2 linked regions of the Cricetulus griseus genome follow. The protein of the gene in region 2 interacts with the protein of the main gene of each other region in a pairwise test. Links are inferred from orthologs where the notes say so. Each region holds a gene or a part of one and is shown on either strand. Other genes may lie near its edges. The genes, in order: Pias3 and Satb1.

Region 1 (3,293 bases), about 190 Mb from region 2:
GCAAATTAGTTCTGACTGCTTTTTGTCTAGAGTTCCCTGCTTCAGTCATCTCAGAAAACTGCCACTTACCTGTCCTTTCTCACCAGGTTCTGTCTCTGTGAGACTAGCTGCCCACAGGAGGACTATTTTCCCCCTAACCTCTTTGTCAAGGTTAATGGGAAACTCTGCCCCCTGCCGGTAGGTAAAGATTCTTCCCTTTTGGCAACAAATAAATATTAAGTAAAAACCTCTTATGAAAAGATATGCTGAGCACAATGCCTGCCATGTAGTAGTTGCTCAGTTTATCACTATAATCTACAGAGCCCATGCTTCTGTGGAAGGCCATACATTCAAGAGTTTATGGGCAACACAAACTGTACCTGATATGTTAATGGGTGGGGCTCAAGGTTGGGTGAGTAGAAAAGCCGGGGTCCTGGGAAGAATCGAGGATGAGAGTGAATAGGATCAAAACACATGGTATGGAATTCTCAAAGAGTTAGAAAAAAATAAGTAAAATAAAATAGGGCTGAATAATTTTTGTCAGAACCCAGAAGAGGGACACTAGTTTAATGCAAAGGTTTAGAAAAGACTTCTAAGAGGTTACAACGTCAGATGAAAGTAGAAGATGAGAAGTGTCCCTGTTGTTCCCTGGGATTCCCTGGCTGGGTTCCTAGTTCCTTGGTTAATAAATAAGCTCTGCCCCCCAGAAGTGAGCCTCTCAGAGCCCTGTGTAGGGCCCTTGTTTTGCATCTCTGAGTGGATCCCTACTCCATTGCTCATGAGTGAGCTGGCCTCCCTCCAGAGAGAAATCTGAGACAGGATTTCTGTTGTTAGAGTTGAACCCCTTCCCAGTGCTCTGTCTCCTCTAACAAGTCCCTCCCTTCCTCAGGGTTACCTTCCCCCAACCAAGAATGGAGCAGAGCCCAAGAGGCCCAGCCGTCCAATCAACATTACATCCCTGGCTCGGCTCTCAGCCACAGTTCCCAACACCATTGTGGTTAATTGGTCATCTGAGTTTGGACGGGTGAGTGGAGCTGGAAGGCCAGCAGAGGCTGCAGGGGAGCCATCTAGTTTGGGGTTGGGGATTCATTTTGTTCTTTTGGGCCTCTCTGATCAAGACCAGTCTCTCGTTGTGAGACAAAGTATGTGGGGAAGGGGGAGGTAGGAAGCAGAAACTAATGCTCTGTTCCCATTCCCCAAGTAGAATTATTCCTTGTCTGTGTACCTGGTGAGGCAGTTAACCGCAGGGACCCTTCTACAAAAACTCAGAGCGAAGGGTATCCGGAATCCAGACCATTCCCGGGCACTGAGTGAGTATCAGCCTTTTCCTTCTTCCACATCTGGCTCAGGGGTTCCTGCTGCCCTCCAGGTTTTGTCACAGGCTCTCTTACATGGTCTCCAGCCCTCCCCCAAGCCTGTGCTTCTCAGTCTCTGTGGTTGAGAAATTAGATCCTCAAGCAATGGGAATAGCTTTGCACTCCCAATCATACAACAGTTCTGTATCTCCAAGACCCTAATTCCAGCCCTACTAAGATGTGAGCTCTCGGTACTGATTTGAGCTAACCCTCACTGGATGCTTTTTTTCCATCCAGTTGGTCCCTAATGTAGCCCACATTTCACCCTGCAGTGTTTAAGCATCTTCAGGGATGAGAACTCACTTCTCCACACCCAGCTGTCTTGGTACAGACCCACTCCTGTGACATGCCATGGGCCCCCAAAGACTCTGCTCAGCTGCCTCTCAGCTGGGGCCGTCTCCAGGCTGCTTCCAGCCTCGCTGACCCCATGACTTTGGACTCACTCTTGTTTCAGTCAAGGAGAAATTGACCGCTGACCCTGACAGTGAGGTGGCTACTACAAGTCTCCGGGTGTCACTCATGTGCCCGGTGGGTACTTGGGGTGAAAGGAAGTGGGAGGAGGGTTGGGTTAAAGTCTGAAGAGGGTCCCTAAGGATACTAGAGCAACGTTTTCTATAATGGACTCTCCTCTCGTCAGCTAGGGAAGATGCGTCTGACCGTCCCATGCCGTGCCCTTACCTGTGCCCACCTGCAGAGCTTTGATGCTGCCCTTTATCTACAGATGAATGAGAAGAAGCCAACATGGACATGTCCTGTGTGTGATAAGAAGGCTCCCTATGAATCTCTTATTATTGATGGGTAGGGCTTTGCTGCTTCCCTCTCTGCTAGGACAGTCACTTAGATGCCTTCCCTCACTTTATGGCTTATGTCTCATGAATTGCAGCTCTAACCCCCGTGTCTCCTTTAGTCATCCACCGTGTGTGTGTGTGTGTGTGTGTGTGTGTGTGTGACATCAAGGACGTAGGCTAGCTAATACGTCATGCTCAGTATTTTGCATGCATTTTCTCATTGCGTCCTCATCATAGCCCCACAGCATATGTACCATCATCGCAGATGAGGAAAGACTAGAGCTGAAGGTCACATTCGTAAATGGCAGAGCAGTACATCGAATTTTTCCAATATATTGCCAGTAACAACTACCTGAACTTCCCACAGCACATAGCTGTAATGTTCCTTCGTTCCTTTTCATTTTTACTATTACAAGTAGCAGCTATTAGATTGGCACAATAAGGGTGTTTTTTTTTTTTTACTTTTTTCTTATTTCTGGATATAATTATATAGCTAGTCTTCTACGACCCCAACAAGCAAATAATTTTTTTGGTCCTAAGTAGTTTTAGTCCCCTAGCACAGCCTCCATTAGGGCTCTCACACTGTCTTTTGAGAAGTTTTAAACCTGCACCTAAAATTTGTGAAGTTTTCTGGGCCTGGTGGTGCATTCCTTTAATCCCAGCACTCTGGAGGCAGAGGCAGGGGCAGGTAGATCTCTGAATTCAAGACCAGCCTGGTCTACAGAGTGAGTTCCAGGATAGCCAGGGCTACACAGAGAAAACCTGTCTCAAAAAAACAAAAAAAACAAAAAAAACTTGTGAATCTCTTTTACATACTTCCCTCCACAGTGCTAGGGCTCAAACTCGGGGCCCGCATGCTAAACAAGTGCTCTGTTACTGAGCTATAGTCCCAGCCTGTGAATTACTTCTATTCCAGCAACAACTCAGGTCCAGTAGGGTGGACAATACAGATGAGGAGACTGAGGCACAGGAAGTAAGTCTTAGAACACTGTTGTTCCGCCAGCTCCCAGCCTCATGAATTCCCATGTCCTCCTCCCCTAGTTTATTCATGGAGATTCTTAATTCCTGTTCTGATTGTGATGAGATCCAGTTCATGGAAGATGGATCCTGGTGTCCGATGAAACCTAAGAAGGAGGCATCTGAGGTTTGCCCCCCGCCAGGGTATGGGCTG
Region 2 (3,818 bases):
TTTTTTTTAAAATTATTGCTCCCAACTGAGTTAAAGGGTCATATTAAATTTACCAGCTAAGAATGAACACAATTTTAAAGCTGTAAAAACACAGATCTTAGTTAAAAAATACAAAGTTTTAACCTAAGACAACACAGTGCAAAAGCCACCCTTTTAAAAACAACAATAATGACTAGAAAAACAGCTGTAGAAAATTTGAAGGAGCCCTATAAAACCCCACCATGTCTTCTGACCCTCAGTCTAACCAAAGCCAGTCAAACACAAATCACAGCTGGCATTCTCCTAGGCTCAGCAACTGCCAACAAGGAATTAATACTAAATTACTTTTGTATCAGAATTGTATCCTCACAATCATAATAAACAAAATAAAGATGAAAAGAAACAAAACTTGAAGATGAAAGGAAAATGAGTCAGACAAAAAACAAAAAAAGAGAAGAGGAAGAGGAAGAAAAAGAAAAAAAAAACAAGGTAAAAACAAGAAAACTGAGAAGACATTACAGCCTCAAAGTTAAATGTTCCTCTTATTTTAGTGTGCCTTGGCTAAAAATAAACATCACGTGTATTATGTTAACATCTAAACAAATAAAACCTTTATAAATACTAGAGATACTATTCTTGCAGAGAAGATTGTGTCTCACAGGAATTTGCCCAGGAGGGAAAAAGTGTAAACACTGGGGATGTTTGTAGGCCTCAATGGGAAGTCTAAACTAAATGCCTGCAGCCAACCCAGCACATGGCCTGATATAGACACAAGTGAATTGCCACCAAGCCACACCCATCCCACCACTGTCCATTGCTAGTGATCTACAGTGTGATCAGAGTTTATGACCTCAAATATTTACTATATAGACACATAAAAAAAAAAGAAAGAAACATGATTTCTCTGGTGTGAGGTAAAATCTGTCAAAATAAACCAGGAACTCTGGACAAAGGGCAAAAGGGCATCAGAAGAAGAGGTGCTTAGAAGCATGGCCAAGCCTCACAATGTGTACACAAAGTACCATAAGAAACCACACTTCAGAGCCAGGCGGTGGTGGCGCATGCCTTTAATCCCAGCACTCGGGAGGCAGAGGCAGGTGGATCTCTGTGAGTTCGAGACCAGCCTGGTCTACAAGAGCTAGTTCCAGGACAGCCTCCAAAGCCACAGAGAAACCCTGTCTCAAAAAACCAAAAAAAATAAAAAATAAAAAAAATAAACACCCACATTTCAGCTGGGAGGCAGTGGTAGCTGTGGTGGCACAGGACTTTAATCCCAGCACTGGGGAGGCAGAGGCAGGCAGATCTCTGCGAGAAAGAAAAGAAACCACACTTTGTACAATGCATATAACTCTACCACAAACATGGGGGAAAATAAGAATGAGGTGTGGAGAACATGAACAAATCATGGAAGAAGGCTAAGAAACGGCTGCAGAGAATTAAATGCAATCACTATTAAGCTGCATAGTATCAAAAGAGTTGAAGAATTTCAACAAAGCACATTAATGTATTTAAGCTTGATATGAACAGAAACATAGAAACAACACTAGGCTAGCCACTTCCTCACCTTCTATTACTAACAGCTTACCATTCCATGAGGAGAATACAGACAATGCCAGGATGTGCCCTTGGAAGAGGAGCACGGCACAGGGACAGAAGTGATGGCACAGGGACCACACTTAACAGAGGTGCCATGTTAACAGAGGTTGACAAAGAGTAAAGGAAAAACATGAGCTTAGATAGGGCTCAGCAAAGACACAAGAGGAGGCAGTAGAACAACAGAACAAAACTGACCTGAGTTCTGTTAAATGCCACTCGTGCAAACACTGCCTGGGAGATTCCCGCTCGCTTCAGTTCATCCCGCACCCACTGGTAGATTTCTGAAGAGACCTCCGTGTTCGTGGAAACCTGCTGCTCCAAAGGCTTATTCATAGACCTACTGACAGGGGGAGGGTGGTTCAAGTACTGTTGGTTTAAGGACTGCTGGGCTAAGAGTCTGTTCACCGCATACTGCTGGTTCAACAACTGGGCCATCACCAGCTGCTGGTTGACTAGCTGAGGACCGATAGGTGTTGACACCAGCCCAGGGTGCAGGTTTGGAAGAGGGGTCCGGACAGAGGGCTGGCTGCCATGGGAGAGCTGTGCGGGAGATGGAGGCTGCTCAGCTGTGTTCCCTGGGACCGGCTGCTGGCCAAAATTGACGTGGTTGGTGCCTTGTTGAGATAGTTCAGACAGACTATCCATTTCAACTAAAGTAGAAAAAAAGGAAAATCAAGTTCAGACAGCAATAAGAAACTTTCTGATCATTTCCTAACATGAGAAATACAAAGAAAGCCCGGGTGGTGATGGCACATGCCTTTAATCCCAGCACTGGGGAGGCAGAGGCAGAGGCAGGTGGATCTCTGTGAGTTTGAGGTCAGCCTGGATCTACAGAGTGAGTTCCAGGACAGCTATGGCTGTTACACAGAGAAACCCTGTCTGAAACAGAGAGAGAGAGAGAGAGAGAGAGAGAGAGAGAGAGAGAGAGAGAGAGAGAGAGAGAGCGCAGTGAAGAATAATGGTGCCAAGATAACTAAGGACACAAGCTCCCAGGCCACGGCTGTGTTTCCCTCTACAGACAATCCCACACACTAAGGGCAGGACAGCGCTCCTGTTCTTGTTTTGAAATGCAGCTTAAATTTACAGCAGTGGTTATCTACCTGTGGGCCGAGACCTCTTTGGAAAACCTCTATTTCCAAAATGACTTACAATACTATAACAAAACTGCAGTTATGAAGTAGCAACAAAAAATAATTTTATGATTGGGGTCATAATAGTATGAGGAACTATATTAGGAAGGTTGAGAACCACCCATTCAAGGCATAAAATTACTACATCCACATTTTTATATTTGCTTAGGGATCAAACTATTACTGATTCTCAGTTACAAGTACAAGAAGGCTTACAAGCAATGACTGTTTCTTTTAAGATGGCTACAAGAATATTGTAGGCTTAACAGCAACGAGAAACCGTGAGCTAAACTAAAAGTGGATAAACTATGATTAAAACACAAAAATATTGGATATACTTCCATATTATGTTAAATCTAGCAATCCAGGCAAAAGAAAGAAGAAGGCTACAAAATAAGCGTGTAATAAGGTGGGCACAACAGCTGGCTGCCACTCTCGGAATCACATGTGGTTTGTTTCATTTAAGTCCAATCATGGACACAAGGGTATCAGCAAATACTTCTCAGGACAAAGCGAAGACATAGAGTAAGCCAGCACACCCGGTGTGGCTAAGGCTTGAATGCTTTTAATAGAAGTGTGGTTCTCACCAGATGCTAAGGATGGGGCAGAGAGCTGTCCTAGTACAATGGTGATGCTGTCACGTTTCTGTAATTTATTTCCACCTCCCCAGAATGAATTCCTCTCCCTTGGCTAGAGCACTTGTGTGGATTGGCTAGGAGTCAGCTCTAAGTGTGCCAAACGCTGTGCTGTTACACATAAGAGACTGGAGGGAGGCTAAAATGAGAGTGTAATATAAACAGGTAAGCCTTTTCAAATGTCCACCCTTCTTATGGACAGACTCATTTCTCTTTTCATTAAATGTGCAGATTTTATAATCAGAGGAACTGGTCATATTGTTTTACTCCAAGATGTATGCAGAATATAACTGAGAAGGGAAAGAAACCTTCAGTTTCTACCAGTGATATCAGCCCAAGCGGGCCATTCACATGAAACAGTAATTCAAGCAATTATTCCGAAACTTGATGCATTGTCTTCATTATAGCCCTAAGCTATAAAAGGCAAAGAATCTGTTTTGGTAGATGGATGGCCTTTCTTCAAATATTAAAAGCTAAA

Evidence for each region.
Region 1: the proteins of Satb1 (region 2) and Pias3 interact in a two-hybrid assay, tested with the Homo sapiens proteins (2 studies listed by BioGRID and IntAct). The link is inferred for Cricetulus griseus from reciprocal best matches to the Homo sapiens genes SATB1 and PIAS3.

Annotation. Positions count from the first base shown.
Region 1 is NW_023276806.1:59,797,857-59,801,149, reverse strand, and holds part of Pias3 (E3 SUMO-protein ligase PIAS3), read left to right. Parts: intron 1-86; coding exon 87-177; intron 178-868; coding exon 869-1,003; intron 1,004-1,183; coding exon 1,184-1,289; intron 1,290-1,788; coding exon 1,789-1,862; intron 1,863-1,971; coding exon 1,972-2,132; intron 2,133-3,163; coding exon 3,164-3,293. UniProt on the Homo sapiens protein: Functions as an E3-type small ubiquitin-like modifier (SUMO) ligase, stabilizing the interaction between UBE2I and the substrate, and as a SUMO-tethering factor.
Region 2 is NW_023276806.1:251,371,200-251,375,017, reverse strand, and holds part of Satb1 (DNA-binding protein SATB1), read right to left. Parts: intron 2,226-3,818; coding exon 1,771-2,225; intron 1-1,770. UniProt on the Homo sapiens protein: Crucial silencing factor contributing to the initiation of X inactivation mediated by Xist RNA that occurs during embryogenesis and in lymphoma.